Linked DNA regions of Saccharomyces cerevisiae S288C. The protein of the gene in region 2 purifies or fractionates together with the protein of the main gene of each other region. This does not show direct contact. Each region holds a gene or a part of one and is shown on either strand. Other genes may lie near its edges. The genes, in order: NOP2, HAS1, TIF6 and NUG1.

Region 1 (3,998 bases), on a different chromosome or scaffold from region 2:
GAAAGAACGTATTGTGAAGGAATTCACTGGATTCCTTCCTACCGGTACCAATATCACTGTAAATATGTCTTCAGATCCTTCATTGGATGCCTGGAAGGGTATGGCAGCTCTAGCACGAAACGAAGAACAGTATAGGAAAACAGTTATCAGTAAGAAAGAATACGAAGAGTACGGTCCAGAGTACATCAAAGAGCATAAGTTAGGGAATACGAAGTATTTTGAAGACTAAGGAGACAGCAAACTGAAACGCCTTAAAAACAAAAAAAGAGAAATAAATAGAGATATATGTAATACTATATTGGCAACGAATATTAATAAGTAATATCATCGCCTTTTTTCTTAGTGCTGTTTACAAATCGGCTTTATTATTTCTATTTTGAATTTAATATACAGTGAGACATATTTGAAATTGATATATATATATATATATATATATGTAGACAGAGAAAGATTAGAGAGAGAAAACTATGCTAACATGATGCCACTACGTTTGTGGGAACTTATTTTTCGTTAGAAGGTCTTTTAGCTTTTGGATTGACACCCTTTTTCAAAAGATTGTTTTTCACAGACTTTTCAATGTACTTATCGTCTTCTTCGTCCTCGAAGGTTGCGAAGTCAGAGTGAATGATACCTTCTTCCAAAGCTTCCTTTCTAGCAGCAGTTTCCTTTTCTTTTGCACTTGCTTGGTTATCATCAAACGAAGATGGACCGATCTTTTGGAATTTAGCGACAAAGAACCCATCGACGTTGTACGTATGTGGATAGTACCTCCTCGCTAATTTCACACTAGGATGAAACTTTTTGCCTCTGTAACTAGTAAACGCTTCTTTACCGATCGCTAAACCAGTATCGACTAACTTGACATTCGGTCTTTTTCTCAATGCATAGTCTATGACAGCTTCGTCCTCTTCCACTGCAACAGAACATGTCGAATATACTATTACACCACCATGTTTCGAGTTGCAATCAACAGAATCAATGGCGGATAGAAGCAATTGTTTTTGTAGATGTGGAATTTGAATGAAGTCCTTCTCGGTACGAGACACCTTGACAGATTGATCCTTACCGATAACACCAGTACCGGAACATGGGGCATCCAGTAAAATTCTGTCAAAACCTCCAATTACCTTAGGGAACTCACGGGCATCGTAATTGCATACAATAGTGTTGGTACAGCCTAGACGGTGGATATTAGCAATTAAAGATTTTGTTCTAGATTTATTGGCGTCGTTAGCGAAAACACAACCTGTGTTTTTCATCATAGCTGATATATAAGTGGTCTTACCACCTGGAGCAGCTGCCATATCCAAGATACGCTCATTTTCATGAGGATCTAGAGCAATAACTGGTAGAAAAGATGATGCCGCTTGTAAAATATAGTGACCTGCCAAATATTCTGGCGTAGCACCAATTGGGACTTGGGAATCGAATATTTGAAGACCAACTTTAGTCCAAGAACCAATAGGTTGTAGATTAACACCTCTATTCACAAGAGTTTGAGCTAAGTCTCTCCTTCTGGTCTTCAAGGTGTTGGTTCTGATGGTTATTGGTCTTGCAATTTCATTGGCTTCGAAAAACTCCATCGCCTCTGCTGGTGAGAATAGATTGAATAACTTTTCCGCCAAAAATGGTGTATAACCAAAGTACTCACAAATATCTTTCAAAAGTCTGTCAACGTATTCTCCTCTCGATCTGCCTTCTGCACCAAGAGTCTTAAAATTTTCCAAAACCTTTACAATTTCAATCATTCTTGTTCTTGTGGAAGTTAAATTAGGAGTTTCTTGTGCCATCATTTCTTCCTGCTCCTCAGTGGGCAATATGTCTGCTCTTGGTTGCATGTTCTCCGCTTCCACTAACTCCATTTCGGCTTCTTCAGCTTCTTCAGCTTCTTCTTCATCAAGTTTCTTAGAAAGAGCTTCCATGTTTTGTGCATTTAGTTCTTCAAGATCAGCCTCATCGTCGTCATCTGAAAAAATTGGGTGGGCGTCATTATCTTCATCTTCATCGTAATCATATTCTTGTTCCAAGTCAAATTCATCTTTTAGTTCTTCATCCACCAATCCTGCTTCATCGTCATCTTCTTCATCATCAAATAAAGATTTCCTGGCTTTTGATAATTCTTCAAGATCAACTTCTGGCAAATCCTTATCCTCTTCAACAACTTCTTCCTCCTCTTTTCTAGATTTCTTGAATGGCTTCGACTTCTTTTTCTTTCTATCAGAAACTTCATCCCCTTGCGTGGTAGAAGGTCTCTTTCCTTTTTCTAGCTTTCTATTAGCCTTCTTTTCCTTTCTTGCCTGAAACTCCTCCAGGGTTGGTGGGGCGGCTTGCTTGTTCTTATGACGTCTACTACCCATTTCCTATTATATGTATATGTAATTCTAATATTAGCCAACACAAGGGGAATTCCGCCAGAATTACAAATCTATATACCTTAGCGACAACTGTATTTGCAGCTCAGCTCATCTTAAACTTATTCTGCGATGAGATGAAAATTTTTTTCAGAAAACGTGAAACTGGGTAACGGTTTTGTAAAATCTGAAAAATTTCATCAAAAAAAAAAAAAAAGTCGATGAGGTGTATAATAACAATAATAATATTCAACTTTAAATTCTTTGGCACGTTGGATCCTACTCACATTGTTGCAAACGAATTGGACAAAAAAACTTTGAATTTAGTGCACAATGAATGCTTTGACAACCATAGATTTTAATCAGCACGTTATCGTCCGGCTGCCATCAAAAAATTACAAGATAGTGGAACTAAAGCCCAACACCTCTGTATCATTAGGAAAATTCGGTGCTTTCGAGGTTAATGACATAATTGGTTATCCTTTCGGGTTGACTTTCGAGATATATTATGATGGCGAAGAGGTTTCATCCGATGAAAATAGAGATTCGAAACCAAAGAACAAAATTCCCATCGGGAAAGTAAGGCTATTATCGCAGGAGATCAAAGATGTCAATAATGATAAAGACGATGGTCAAAGCGAGCCTCCTTTATCTATTAAGGAAAAATCTGTGTCTCTTGAATTGTCTAGCATTGACAGCAGTGCTACGAATCAGAATCTGGTTAACATGGGCAGCAAGGCCCAAGAGTTAACCGTTGAAGAAATTGAAAAAATGAAACAAGAATCTTTATCTAGTAAAGAAATAATCGACAAAATTATCAAATCTCACAAAAGTTTTCACAACAAGACCGTATATTCTCAAGAGAAATATGTGAATAGGAAGAAACAAAAATTCGCCAAGTACTTCACCGTTGAGTATTTAAGTAGCTCTAACCTTTTACAATTCTTAATCGACAAAGGCGATATCCAAAGGGTATTGGATATGTCTCAGGAATCGATGGGGATGCTGTTAAATCTTGCGAACATCCAATCAGAAGGCAACTATCTCTGTATGGATGAAACGGGTGGGTTATTGGTTTACTTTCTGTTGGAAAGAATGTTTGGCGGTGACAATGAAAGCAAATCCAAGGGCAAAGTCATAGTTATTCACGAAAATGAACATGCCAACTTGGATTTGCTGAAGTTTGCTAATTATTCTGAGAAATTTATTAAAGAGCATGTACACACCATTTCTCTATTAGATTTTTTTGAACCGCCTACACTACAAGAGATTCAGAGCAGATTTACACCATTACCTAAAGAAGAAGCCCGTGCATTAAAAGGTGGTAAGAAAAACTCGTACTACCGAAAACTCAGATGGTACAATACACAATGGCAAATTTTAGAACTAACAGGAGAATTCCTATATGACGGTCTTGTAATGGCTACTACACTACATTTACCAACACTAGTGCCAAAGTTGGCCGAAAAAATCCATGGTTCAAGGCCGATTGTATGCTATGGTCAATTCAAAGAAACTTTGTTGGAATTAGCTCATACTTTATATTCAGACCTCAGGTTTTTAGCACCATCAATTTTGGAAACTAGATGTAGGCCGTACCAAAGTATAAGGGGTAAGCTACACCCTCTGATGACCATGAAAGGTGGT
Region 2 (5,010 bases):
AAAGAAAGAGATCTTTGAAACTCCAGACCCTCGATTAGGTTTGAGAGACGAAGATATTAGGCAGCAGATAATTAATGAGGATTACTCAAGTTATTTACGAGTAAGGGAGGTTAATTCCGGCGGTGACCTTCTCGAAAATATTCAGCATCCTGATGCTTGGAAGCATGATTGCAAGACCATTGTGTGCCAGCGTGTAGAAGATATGCTACAAGTCATTTATGAACGATTTTTTTTATTAGATGAACAATACCAAAGAATAAGAATAGCATTATCATACTTTAAAATTGACTTCAGCACGTCTCTGAATGATTTATTGAAGTTATTGGTTGAAAACTTGATTAATTGTAAAGAAGGAAATTCAGAGTATCACGAAAAAATTCAAAAAATGATCAACGAAAGGCAATGCTATAAAATGCGGGTACTTGTCTCTAAGACAGGAGATATACGAATTGAGGCAATTCCAATGCCTATGGAGCCTATCCTAAAATTAACAACCGATTATGACAGTGTTTCCACATACTTCATCAAAACGATGCTCAATGGATTTTTAATTGATAGCACAATAAATTGGGATGTTGTTGTTTCATCTGAACCATTGAACGCATCAGCTTTCACCAGTTTTAAAACCACTTCAAGAGATCATTACGCTAGGGCGAGAGTTCGCATGCAAACTGCTATAAATAACTTAAGAGGTTCAGAACCTACTTCTTCTGTCTCGCAATGCGAAATTTTATTTTCCAACAAATCTGGCCTGCTGATGGAAGGTTCAATAACAAACGTGGCTGTAATTCAAAAAGATCCTAACGGTTCTAAAAAGTATGTGACACCAAGATTAGCAACTGGATGTTTGTGCGGAACAATGCGTCATTATTTATTGCGGCTCGGCCTTATTGAAGAGGGAGATATAGATATAGGAAGCCTTACCGTTGGCAACGAAGTTTTGCTTTTCAATGGCGTCATGGGATGCATAAAGGGAACAGTGAAGACAAAATATTGAGCAGACGACAGATTTTCATATCAATGAAGTTTTTTTACAATAGTTTACAAATCATGATTTTACATACTCAAATATGTGCAGGTTGATACAGACAACGTACGTAGAAGACAACAAACAGAAAACAGCGGTTTATACATTTATTTAAATGACATACAGTGGAGAAGCAGAGAAAGGAAAAGGAGTGCGATGAGAACAGAAGATGAATACTTCGGTTGTGTTGGTTCCACGTACACATTAATAGCATTAAAAATTGATCCTCTGAAATTACTTATGAGTTTTACGTCTTTTGGTATTTGGCGTTTTTCCACTGGCACCAATTGTAATGTTAACCTTTGGAGGGACTGGAAAACCGTAAGACTTTGCTACTTTGGCTAAATCCAGCTTATCGATTTGATAGACAGTTTTCAAAGAGTGGGAAGCGTACGCTTGTAAATAAGATCTATAACCATCCTTGGCTGTTTGATGTAGATAATAGTTGGATTTAATTAATTTTTCTAATTGTGATTGAACGTTTGCAATTTTGTTTTCCGGGAATTCGTACTCATTTAATGGGACCTTGGAAGCCTTTAGATATCTTAAAAACCCTAATTCATTAGGTGTTAAAAACATTAAAGATTTACCCTTACCTTTAGTGCCTCTTGCGGTTCTTCCGACTCTATGAATATAATCTCTTGGATCATCAGGAGGGTCGAATTGAATGATCCAGTCCACAGCAGGGATATCTAGCCCTCTAGCTGCGACATCTGTACAAATCAAGATACCTCTTTCCGCATTACAGAATTCGAAAAATGTATTTGTTCTCTTTTGTTGTTTTTGCTTACCGTGTAATTCGAGGACTGGCAAATCAATATAGTTCAATAATTCAGCGTAATATTTCACAGAGTTACAAGATGATAAAAATACAATAATTTTCTTTTTTTGATTTCTTTTCAAGAAAGAAAATAACAACAAAAATCTCTTATCACTGTCACATACCACATAGCCTTGTTCTAATCCATCTGCGGTGGAGTTGTCGGTTTCAGGAACGACATTAATGAAAAGAGGGCCCGGTCTCAGCGAGATTCTAGCCAAATCCTCAACTTTGGTCGTTTGTGTAGCTGAAAATAACATGGATTGCCTATCTTCGTTTGGCAAGATCTTAATTATCTGCCTCATTTCATCTTCAAACCCAATTTCTAAGATTCTGTCCGCTTCATCGATAATCAAAGCCTTCAAGTTCTTGAATACAAATCCTTTTGTATTTTGTAAGTGATCCAATAATCTTCCAGGGGTAGCAATCAACATGTTAACACCTTTCATCAATTTTTCGGCTTCCTGTCTTCTATTTGCACCACCAATGACAATACCAAATGTCTGTGAATGGAATTCCATTAACTCTCTTGCCACTCCAAAAATCTGTAAAGCCAACTCTCTTGTAGGCGTAATGACAATTATACCGGTACCATTTCTTGGTTTGAATTTCAAAGAATGCAATAGTTCAATAGCAGGGATGAGAAACGCTAGAGTTTTACCAGAACCTGTCTTGGCAGCACCAAGAACATCCCTACCGGCCAAAAGAGGTGGGATAGTCCTTGCCTGAACAGAAGTCATAGTGGTAAATCCCATCTTTTCAATGGCCTTTAAAGTTGGCTGTGATAACTTTAGTTCTTCGAACTTTTCCACACAAGTAGTTTGTTCTCCCTCAGGTGCGGCATTGTTTTGTTTTGAAGTGCTCTTTTCATCTACTACAGGTTCTTCTGTAGATTCAGAATCTCTAGAACGTTTATTTGACGGGGTAGCCATACTTCTCCTGTTAATATTGCTCAGCTTATCTAATTATTATAGTATACAGTTATCCAATAGCTATGTACTCAAGTACCGTGTATACACTATAAAATCTCATCTCATCGCTAAAGCTAATATTGAAAAAAAAAAAAAAAAAAAAAAGAAAAAGCAAATAAAAAATTTTCAATTCGGGTAACGAAGAATCGACTCTCGCCGGGTAAACAATTCTTAGTCGTCATACACTCCTCTTTACGTTAAGAAAATAGAAGTAGCAGCGCTTTGTAAAGCATTAAAGCGTCATGGATTGCAAAATACACATAATATATCACTTGTGATAGTGAGAAATGGAATGAAGTGGTTTAAGATGCTCTTTTACCAATAAACATATTGCGCCTATCAAATCATTTTCCACCCCTGTTAACTGATACAGATATAGCCTTACATATAACTTTTGCACTCCCTAAAATTACCATGGCTGTTCACCGCCTGCTATCATCCATGTTTTTACATACATCTATTAGGTTTGCCATCTTAGCCGCCGAAGCTATCGTTGCCGGTACAGGCGCTCCTTGAATAACCCCCTCCCCCCCACGCTATTCTTCAAATTCCGATTTCAGCTTCTCTTTGTTTTTCCTTTTTTGGCACCTCGGAAAAACCTCCACGTGTTAGGTTATTCCGCCGATTCCACGGGTGGGGTGCTACCAAGACTCCTGAAAAAGAAACTGTATGACGAAAAGAAAAAAAAAAAGCTGCTTGAATTCCAACACCGCTTTCTTGTTCTGACAATAGAAAGGGGGATTCCTAAAAAAAGAAAAAGAGGGCGGGGTTTATCATGTACTCAGAATATGAAAACGTGTCGAACGGGGATGACTTCTTCTGCTTCTTTACTTCTTTCTATTTAGAGTGACAGTTTTTTTATTTGTTTTGCTAACTTGTTTATTTATTAATTTCTTGTTTGCTCCTTCAGTTACCTACCACGACTGTCTCAGCCAAACCGCGATATTTTCATACAATTGACATTACAACAGTTCAAAAAGAAAAATACACATCCAGGATATGACTACAGCTAGTTCTTCTGCTTCCCAGCTACAACAGCGCCTGCCGGAAGAAAAACCTTGGCCGCAACTGAGTGGCAGCAATGCAGACGCTCAAACCTTCAAATGTAAATACGTAACCAACCACAACTCCTTGGGCGATGGGAATTTTAGCGTCGTGAAAGAATGTATGAATATACACACAAAGGATTTGTACGCGATGAAGCTTATTAAGAAACAAACTGTCAAGAACAAAATTCAACTTATTCAAAGAGAGTTCGACCTTTTGAGGTCAATAAGCGAGAAAATCAGAGATATGGAAAAAAAGAATGAACATTCTTTGGACATTTTTGAGGGGCATCACCATATTTTACAACTTTTCGACTATTTTGAGACGGCAGATAACATTGTCCTGATCACTCAGCTGTGTCAGAAGGGAGATTTGTATGAAAAAATTGTTGAAAATCAGTGTTTAGACCTCGAAACTCAAGTTACCTCGTACTGCGCCTGTTTGGTGAGCGTTCTCGAGTTTTTGCATTCTCAAGGTATTGTTCATAGAGACTTGAAAGCAGAAAACGTCTTATTCAGATTGAGAGTGAACGAAAACGAAAAAAACCTACAGGGTGAACACCACGGAGATTTCAAATACGATCTCTTGGCACACGACCTAGTTCTCGCCGATTTTGGTCTTGCTGCTGAATATAACACAAGTAAGGTAAACTCGTTAAAGGAGTTTGTTGGAACCATCTCGTATATTGCTCCAGAAATCGTCAAGTGCAAAGGTGTCGGTGAAATGACTCCTGATCAAGTTGGCAAACTAGACAAGTATGGTTGTCCGGTGGATATATGGGCCCTTGGTGTACTGACATATTTCATGGCCTTCGGCTATACGCCCTTTGACTGTACCACAGACGACGAAACTCTGGAATGTATTTCAAAATGTGACTATTACGTCGACGAACAAATGATGCACGACCCTAAATACGAACAATTTTGGAATTTTGTTCAATGCTGTTTTACTATTGACCCGGCCGTTAGGCGTTCTGCTAAGAATTTGAAACAGCATCCCTTTATTAAGGATTATTTTGCTACTTCAAATTCTTTGAATACTAAGGACACGCCGAATTTCTCCTTTCATCCAACAATAAGAAGGGTATCTTCTACAGCGTCCATGCACACATTGAGGTCTCCTTCCAAATCAAGAAAGACAACTAC
Region 3 (4,408 bases), on a different chromosome or scaffold from region 2:
TACTGCTCGTTGCTCACCGCTCTGTGGTTTTCCTCCTGAAAATGCTGCATTGATGGAGGTACAGATTGGGCAGTATAAGAGGAAGCTGCCGTTGAATAAATAGGGCAACAAGATTGACGTTCAACGAACGTTAAAGGGAAAGGTTGCGGTGTTGCTATAACCGGCGAAAAGATAATAGAGTTGGGACTTGATCTCCATACGGGATCCTCTGTCTGATGCAGAGAAGAAGGTGCGTAATGGTAAGCGGGAGGTGGTAGTGCGGCCTGGTTTATTTCAGGAGTAAGTGGAGCGTGCATAATCGACGAACAAGGTGGAAGATGCACTTCCCTTTTGGTCGTGTTCGAGACTTCCTTTGAAGATTGCGCATAGGATCCCCCTATGTTAGACGATGAACATTTCATTGGGCTACAAAGCATAGATTCTAGCGTTTTTGTTCTCCACATTTAATTAGTGTTGAAGATGAAAATTTATGTATATTAAAAGTTAGAAACGGGTCAATGAAGACGTTTGCTTATCGTATTGGATCCTTGCAATGCCCTCCAAAAAGAAGAAAAAAGTTGGACCAAGAAAACAATTATAATTTTGTAATTTGAAATATCTACCAATGAGGTCAAAAGAGCGACAACAACTAGCGCTTATATAATATAAAGAATTCTTGGGACTGTATCTCATGGCAACCAAATGCCGTTCATATTTAGGGTTTCAGTGGGAAAAGATTTCCGGTGCTTTACGCTCCTTGTACAAACAAGTGCTGCGAAACTTTCTGTGGAAATCGTGCCTTTTAAACCATTAGTGAAGGCTCCAGATAGAGTTGTCACAGAAAACAGCGTGGCGGACTTATTTTTTTGCAACGATTTTCTGGAAACAATAGAGGAAGAATTTTTGGCGTACGAAAAGGAACGATGCCCCCAACACCTCAACAATACTACGGAAGTTTCTTCGAGCGGAAAAACATCGAAATACTAGCTGTTTCTGGATATGAGAGTGGGTATGCGTGGCAATGGAACTCAGGGAGTTGTTGCTATTTCAGTGAGTACGATGGATCAGGGTGTTTATATCTCAAGAACTACCAAGTTGAAGAGATGAAACGTAGTTCGCTTGATAGCACATAAATGGACGGCTGACTTGTTGTACACCATATATATATATATATATATATAATTTTACGGCTCACTTCTGTACCGCTTGTGAAAATCTTACCGCACAACCCCCGGTGTTCTATTAGCTTTGTTCGATTTTATTAATCTTTGCCAAGAGATACTACTCTCCGGGTTCTGGTGGAGACAATAGTATGTCCTAGCAGCTAGACAAAAAAGCCTTCAAATGGTCTACGTGCGGTGCAATTTTTCTTGGAGAAGTTCTATATTGTCTAACAGATACTTGGAACTGAGCAAGTTGTCAGAATAGTCGGAGAAGCGGACGGAAAATCCATATTATGCAAAGAATTTGCTTAGAAACCCGTTACATATGCTTCGAACAAAGTGACTACATGTTACAATTAAGACGCCTACTTAAACTGCAATGAATAGTCACCCATAGGTATAAGAAAAAAAAAAAAAATAAAAGAGTACATAATATACATACAACTAAAATTAAAATGCATAGAAACCTAAGAAAAAATATTTGTTATACCAAAAAAAATACCACAAATGATACGTAAGAAGATTATTGCAACATGGGGACTCTTTCGCATACAACTGTAAACAGACTTGAGGAAGGAGGGGAATCCCCTCAGGAGTACCTGACATCTATGAGTAGGTTTCAATCAAAGTATCACGTAGGTTACCTGAAATGGATTCTGGTTGGGCATCTTGCAAGCGGAAAATACTTTCAATAACACTCAATTCTGGGGCTGTAGTATCCAGACCTGTAACTGCCAAGTAATCGTTCACAACCATACCGGCACCGACAACTGAACTACCACGGTTAACGGTACCAGCCACCAAAGGAACTTGTAATAAGGAGGACAATTCTTCTTGATCTTGGACACTTGTTTGTGGATGCACTAACCCACCTTGATTACTTAAAGAACAATATGACCCAACTAAGATATTACCTGATATGGTTTGACGGAAGACCTCAACGCCTAGTACATCACTTATCAATTCTTCAGTTTCTCTGTCGATATCTGGATGCACTAAAGCAACGTAATCATTACAACAGATGACGTTACCCAAGGCAGATAGTCTTTCCTCTACCCTTTGAATCTTAACGGAATCCGGCAAACTATTTCTTAAATGTTGTAATTCTTGATCAGTAGTTTGGGTTGGAACTAGCAGACCTCTACGGTTACCCGCGGTCATTCTACCGATGATACGCGTACCAGCAATAGTGGTATGAACGATGGGAATAGCATCTCCTAATTCAGCTTCAAATGCAGAGTAAAAGTTTTCAGAACCACCAACAGCAACCAAACAGTAAGTATTCGTTAATTTGGAGAATACACCGATTTCATTGGAGTTTTCAAATTGAGTCCTGGTAGCCATTATTGTTTTCTAGAGTTAGTTGAATTATGCTCTTGTTCCAAATACTCTGTCGTATTGCTTCTTGTAATTATACTATAAGACCAACGAGGGATGAGGCTTCTTTTAATTATGCAATATTGAATATTGCGTTACATACAGTAAAAGAAAAAATCTGCACAAAGGAATATGGGTTTAAATCTTTAATTAATAAAAATTTTCCGAAAATTTTCGTTTGGCCCTCGGAAAAAACGGGTAATGCTCATCCATTAGGATTTCGTCCAGAATGCCTATATTATTACATAAAGTGATGCTAGTAATGTAAACCAGAACTACTTCTATAGCTTGTTATAGGTGGCCCATGCCAGTGAAATAGGTGGTTGGTTACTCTTTTTTTTTTCTGGTGGCGGCAACCTATTTTTGTTCTAGTGCCTACCAAACTAATTCCTTCCCATAATTTGAAGGCTTCGCAAGCTTAGTAGATGCAAAACTCTTTCTTCATTCTTTGTCTGATCTTGCACCTTACATATTATTCCAATAGGACCTTTATCACAATCAGCGCATATCAAATATTTCAAGCACTTTTTAATCTTCCAGCTGGAATTACCATACTCAAAGACAAAATCACTCTTATCACTCAAATCCCCTAATATAGAAGAAGGAATTTCTCTAGATACACCAACATTATCAAAGTCCCAAACATCAGGGACGACCAAGAAGTTGCTCTCGCTGGGGGTAGCATCTCGCATAGTTCTGTTTTCCAGCAACTTGAATTCGCTGTGCACCTGCTCTGGTAAGTTTATTATGTTATCATCGTTGATGGTAATAACTGCACTATGACAGCCCTCAAAGGAACACGTAGCCTTGCTCATGTTCTCTGTTATTCCCCCATTTTTCCAGCCCTTTTAATTGAACTTTCTACTCATACCAGTCAAGTTTTTGATATGTACTTCATTAATTAAAATGATCGATATATAATCGTTCAGTACGACAATGACGATATTCACAGTACTACTAAACTAGCGGGTCCCCGGCGCCCAGTCAGCCTTTACGAAGAGAAAGGAAGAATGATATGGATATGCTGAAAAGTATTTTGATACAGAAGAAGGGAGTTTTGAGTTGTCGGGCTCATCGTGCTGGATCAAGTGGTTCCCTACCTGGCGCGATCTATAGTGTCAGACGGCTTGCATATATGCTCACGCGTTCGGACGCGTGAAAGGCTTCAACTGAAAAAAAGAAAGATCTACATCGTTAAACCAAAAGGTTTGCGAACTGACTAAAAAATAAAATTCTTATTGGTTCCACTTCTTGAAATACATCATTTTTCCAGCCAATTCGTTGAGGAGAAGAACATTCTGTTATTGCTGTTACAGAGAATTATATGTTTTAGTGAACCTCAAGACAGAAGAGAATCGAAAGGAAAAGGGAAAATGGAGCAACATCTCAAATCAATTCCTCTACAGGACGACACTAAGAAAAAAGGCATACTATCTTTTTTCCAGAATACAACTACGGTAAAGAGTAATAAGTTTCTCACGAAAGAGAAGGATGTCATCACTCTAGATGATCCTAAAGAGGATGTCAGTGGACCTATGATAGAAACTGTTAAACAAGAAACCATGAAAAGCATCAATAAAGAGTGTGCAGATGAAATGAAAACGACACCTAAGAAGGCCAATGCTGAAGACAAGCTTTTATGCTACAAAAATTCACCCATACAAAGTACAAAATACGATAGAAACACCAACAAACAAGTACCCAATGGAAATATAATAGCTATCGAGACAAAAAGCAGAAGCTCTTCTCCATGCTCTAAGAGAGAACTTTCCTCATCGAAAAAGGAAGAAGCTAAAAGAGAAAAGGAACTAAAAAAGCAGCAACGTGCAGAAGAGAAACACAGAAAAGAGTTATTACGACAAGAAGAGAAAAAGAAAAAAGAGCTAAAG
Region 4 (4,972 bases), on a different chromosome or scaffold from region 2:
TCAACAACTTCACACAATCATAGCTTTTTTTACTTTTTCGCCTCATTATTTTCTTTAAAGAAACGATGATAAACAGAGATTTATCGTCATGTTATTTCGTTCGTATATATCGTATTTGCGTTTTAGCTGTATAAAGTAAAATACTATATCTAACGTGGCTTTTTTTATTTCCCCGTCTGCCCTCTTATGCTCATAGAAAACACTAATGATCGGTTTGGTATCGTCATAGATGCAGGGTCTTCGGGTTCGAGAATCCATGTGTTTAAGTGGCAGGACACGGAATCGCTTCTTCATGCAACAAACCAGGACTCACAGTCCATATTACAATCAGTACCTCATATTCATCAAGAAAAAGACTGGACTTTTAAGCTGAATCCAGGCTTGTCGAGTTTTGAAAAAAAACCTCAAGATGCGTACAAATCTCACATCAAGCCGTTACTAGATTTTGCTAAGAATATTATCCCTGAATCACATTGGTCGAGTTGTCCCGTTTTTATTCAAGCAACCGCGGGCATGCGCCTTTTACCTCAAGACATACAATCTTCCATTTTGGATGGTTTGTGTCAGGGGCTCAAACACCCTGCAGAATTTTTGGTTGAGGATTGCTCAGCACAAATTCAAGTCATTGATGGTGAAACCGAAGGTTTATATGGCTGGCTTGGCTTAAACTATCTATATGGACACTTTAATGACTATAATCCAGAGGTCTCTGACCATTTTACATTTGGGTTTATGGACATGGGCGGTGCCTCTACTCAGATTGCGTTTGCACCGCATGATTCAGGAGAAATAGCTAGACATAGAGATGACATCGCCACCATCTTCTTGAGGAGTGTTAACGGAGATTTGCAGAAATGGGACGTTTTTGTTAGTACGTGGTTAGGGTTTGGTGCCAATCAGGCTAGAAGAAGGTACTTGGCTCAGTTGATCAATACCCTTCCAGAAAACACAAATGATTACGAAAATGATGACTTCTCTACAAGGAACTTGAATGATCCATGTATGCCGCGAGGAAGCAGCACGGATTTTGAATTTAAAGATACCATATTTCACATCGCGGGTTCTGGGAATTACGAACAATGTACAAAATCTATTTATCCGTTACTTTTAAAGAACATGCCTTGTGATGACGAGCCGTGCTTGTTTAATGGTGTTCATGCTCCTCGAATAGACTTTGCCAATGACAAATTTATAGGTACTTCTGAGTACTGGTACACTGCCAACGACGTATTCAAACTTGGGGGCGAATACAACTTTGACAAATTTAGCAAAAGCCTAAGGGAGTTTTGCAATTCCAATTGGACGCAAATATTAGCGAACAGTGATAAAGGCGTGTATAATTCTATTCCGGAGAATTTTTTGAAAGATGCATGCTTTAAGGGCAATTGGGTCCTTAATATACTTCATGAAGGGTTTGATATGCCTCGAATAGATGTCGACGCAGAAAATGTCAATGACAGGCCCTTATTTCAAAGTGTGGAAAAAGTCGAAGAACGAGAGTTATCGTGGACACTAGGCAGAATTTTACTTTATGCCTCAGGTAGCATATTGGCAGGTAATGATGACTTCATGGTGGGTATTGCGCCCAGTGAAAGAAGAACTAAGCTCACTGGTAAGAAATTCATACCTGGCAAGTTACTGGAGTCTGATCAACTACGCAAGCAAAGTTCCAGCCTTTCTAATAAAGGATTTTTGATGTGGTTCGCAATTATTTGTTGCATATTTTACTTGATCTTTCATAGGTCACACATAATCAGAAGACGTTTTTCCGGTCTGTACAACATTACCAAGGACTTTAAGACAGGCATAAGGAGAAGGTTGAAATTTCTAAGGAGATCAGATCCATTTTCCAGATTGGAGGAAGGTGAACTTGGAACAGACGTAGATGGCTTCAAAGATGTGTACAGGATGAAGAGTAGCAGTATGTTTGATCTTGGTAAGAGTTCAGCCACAATGCAAAGGGAGCACGAACCACAAAGGACAGCAAGTCAGTCCGCTAATCTCGCTCCGTCAAACTTACGACCTGCGTTTTCTATGGCTGATTTTTCCAAATTTAAGGACAGTAGGCTATATGATTGAATGTGGTGGTGTATGTGCCATAAATAGAAGCGCATATACTTCTCACATAAATATATGTATATATCTAGTGAGGTGCCATAGTATTGCATTAACAGTGATTCACGTCACTCTAAACGTCGCTTCTGTTTTTTTTTTGAAATTTTTTTCTCACAGCTGCTGAAAATTTTCGAGCGAGGCGATGAGATGAGCTAATTATATCAAGAGGGAATTGTACTAGTAATACTTTGGTACACACAAGAACAAGCATATAGGTATACAGTCACGACTATAATATCATAAAATGAGAGTCAGAAAGCGCCAATCTAGAAGAACATCTACCAAGTTGAAGGAAGGTATTAAGAAGAAGGCTTCTGCCCATAGAAAAAAGGAAAAGAAGATGGCTAAGAAGGACGTTACTTGGAGATCAAGGTCTAAGAAAGACCCTGGTATTCCTTCTAACTTTCCTTATAAGGCTAAGATCTTAGAAGAAATAGAAGCCAAAAAAATGAAGGACTTAGAGGAAAGAGAGCTTGCCAAACAACAACGATTGGAGGCTAGGAAAGCTGCCAAGGAACAAGGCGTTGATGCAATGGATGAAGACATGATAGAAGACGATGAAAATGGATTAGCAGCTTTGGTTGAGTCTGCTCAGCAAGCAGCTGCTGAATATGAGGGCACACCCTCTAATGATGCAGATGTTCGTGATGATGAATTGGACGTCATTGATTATAACATTGATTTCTACGGTGAAGATGTAGAAGGCGAGTCAGAACTTGAAAAATCTAGGAAAGCTTATGACAAGATTTTCAAATCCGTTATTGATGCTTCTGATGTCATCCTATATGTTTTGGATGCCAGAGATCCAGAGAGTACAAGATCAAGAAAGGTGGAAGAAGCCGTCTTACAAAGTCAGGGTAAAAGGCTGATTTTAATACTGAACAAAGTTGATTTAATTCCCCCACATGTATTGGAACAATGGTTAAATTACTTAAAGTCTAGTTTTCCTACAATCCCATTAAGAGCTTCTTCTGGTGCAGTCAACGGAACTTCTTTCAACAGAAAGCTAAGCCAAACCACTACTGCAAGTGCACTGCTAGAGTCGCTGAAAACTTACTCTAATAACAGCAATTTGAAGAGATCTATTGTAGTGGGTGTTATCGGTTATCCAAATGTTGGTAAATCATCTGTTATCAACGCTCTTTTGGCGCGCCGTGGAGGTCAATCAAAGGCTTGCCCAGTCGGTAATGAAGCAGGTGTTACTACCTCTCTGAGAGAGATCAAAATCGACAACAAGTTGAAGATTCTAGATTCTCCTGGTATATGTTTCCCAAGCGAAAATAAGAAAAGATCGAAAGTTGAACATGAAGCTGAATTAGCTCTTCTAAATGCTCTACCGGCAAAACACATTGTTGATCCGTATCCAGCTGTCTTAATGTTGGTAAAGAGACTAGCTAAATCAGATGAAATGACAGAGAGCTTTAAAAAGCTGTATGAAATTCCTCCTATTCCTGCTAATGATGCAGATACGTTTACAAAACATTTCTTAATTCACGTCGCTCGTAAAAGAGGTAGATTAGGGAAAGGCGGTATTCCAAATCTTGCCAGTGCTGGTCTTTCGGTACTTAATGACTGGAGGGATGGTAAAATTCTTGGTTGGGTTTTACCAAATACATCGGCAGCTGCATCTCAACAAGATAAACAAAATCTAAGTACTATAAACACTGGCACTAAACAAGCTCCAATTGCAGCAAATGAATCCACCATTGTATCCGAGTGGTCCAAAGAATTTGATTTGGATGGATTATTTAGCTCTCTTGACAAGGCCATAGATGCTAGCAAAGATCAAGATACAATGATGGAATAAATAAGTCATATGTAAGGCTATTTTTATGTAAGGGGTGTTTCTTATTTTTTCTTTATCATCAAATAACATTACTGTAAATTATAGGTGTGCTTTTAAACTCATTACTATACATCTTATTTTTTTTAGTTTTACTGCCTTTTTGCTCTTTGGACAAAGAAATCATTAAAAAGTTCCAACTTTTATTATGTTTCATATATAAGATATACAAAATATAAAATGCAAAACGAATTTCAGAGATAGCATGACTTATGAAATTGGGGACAGACTCAAGATTGGTGGATATTTTTGCACCATCAAATTCATAGGTGTTATTAAGCCGTGGCCTTCGGTAAAAGCTTATGGGGTGGAATGGGACGATCACAGCCGGGGAAAACATTCTGGAACAATAGATGACATACACTATTTTGACGTTCAAATTCCTAATTCAGGATCATTTTTGAAGGAGTCTAAGATTAAATCTCCAGGTGTACGCAGAATTACGTTTTACGAAGCATTGTCAGAAAAGTATGGAGGCTCGAGTAATAACATTAATGACCTATCTATAGGTAACAAAAGGGTTGAGGGTTTGGGATTCGATGAACTAAATGCGAGAAATAAGAATTATAAGAAGTTAAGAAAAATAGCTTTGCGAGATTCCGATGTCGCTATATTGTTTCAAAATCAAGATGAGTTAAACCGTGTAATACAAAATTGTGTGAACGTCAAGGACCTTGATTTATCGCTTAATCTATTCACGAATATCAACTCTTTATGTGAGTTCATAGAACCTTTGAAGAACTTGGAGAGCCTTAATATATCTCAAAATAAACTTTTAAGCGGTTGGGACAACTTGAAAGAATATGACCTATCACACATCAAAACTTTACGTCTGTCTTCCTGTGGTTTAAGTTATAAACATATTGGTAAGCTGCTCAAAAGCTTCAGGACACTGAAAATGTTGGATTTAAGCTATAACAACTTGACCAGTGCGGGAATCCAAAATTTTGAGAATGAAATACCGTGTACTTTGGAGGAACTGAATATTAGCGGAAATAATCTTATATCGTTTCC

What was found.
Region 1: the proteins of HAS1 (region 2) and NOP2 purify together in Saccharomyces cerevisiae (affinity purification with mass spectrometry; 7 studies listed by BioGRID, with this or other methods). This does not show direct contact.
Region 3: the proteins of HAS1 (region 2) and TIF6 purify together in Saccharomyces cerevisiae (affinity purification with mass spectrometry; 5 studies listed by BioGRID). This does not show direct contact.
Region 4: the proteins of HAS1 (region 2) and NUG1 purify together in Saccharomyces cerevisiae (affinity purification with mass spectrometry; 9 studies listed by BioGRID, with this or other methods). This does not show direct contact.

The regions. Positions count from the first base shown.
Region 1 is NC_001146.8:508,899-512,896, reverse strand, and holds NOP2 (rRNA (cytosine-C5-)-methyltransferase NOP2), read right to left. Parts: upstream 2,358-3,998; coding exon 501-2,357; downstream 1-500. Other genes in the region: actin-related protein ARP5, read left to right, coding at 1-229; tRNA 1-methyladenosine methyltransferase subunit GCD10, read left to right, coding at 2,685-3,998. UniProt on the Saccharomyces cerevisiae protein: S-adenosyl-L-methionine-dependent methyltransferase that specifically methylates the C(5) position of cytosine 2870 (m5C2870) in 25S rRNA. Required for 60S ribosomal subunit synthesis and processing.
Region 2 is NC_001145.3:848,813-853,822, forward strand, and holds HAS1 (ATP-dependent RNA helicase HAS1), read right to left. Parts: upstream 2,780-5,010; coding exon 1,262-2,779; downstream 1-1,261. Other genes in the region: aminodeoxychorismate lyase ABZ2, read left to right, coding at 1-997; protein kinase TDA1, read left to right, coding at 3,818-5,010. UniProt on the Saccharomyces cerevisiae protein: ATP-dependent RNA helicase involved in 40S ribosomal subunit biogenesis. Required for the processing and cleavage of 35S pre-rRNA at sites A0, A1, and A2, leading to mature 18S rRNA.
Region 3 is NC_001148.4:590,584-594,991, forward strand, and holds TIF6 (translation initiation factor 6), read right to left. Parts: upstream 2,487-4,408; coding exon 1,749-2,486; downstream 1-1,748. Other genes in the region: YPR015C (uncharacterized protein), read right to left, coding at 1-443; guanine nucleotide exchange factor DSS4, read right to left, coding at 2,903-3,334; RLF2 (Rlf2p), read left to right, coding at 3,893-4,408. UniProt on the Saccharomyces cerevisiae protein: Binds to the 60S ribosomal subunit and prevents its association with the 40S ribosomal subunit to form the 80S initiation complex in the cytoplasm. Is also involved in ribosome biogenesis.
Region 4 is NC_001137.3:160,364-165,335, forward strand, and holds NUG1 (RNA-binding GTPase NUG1), read left to right. Parts: upstream 1-2,359; coding exon 2,360-3,922; downstream 3,923-4,972. Other genes in the region: YND1 (apyrase), read left to right, coding at 187-2,079; PAC2 (Pac2p), read left to right, coding at 4,164-4,972. UniProt on the Saccharomyces cerevisiae protein: GTPase required for 60S ribosomal subunit export to the cytoplasm.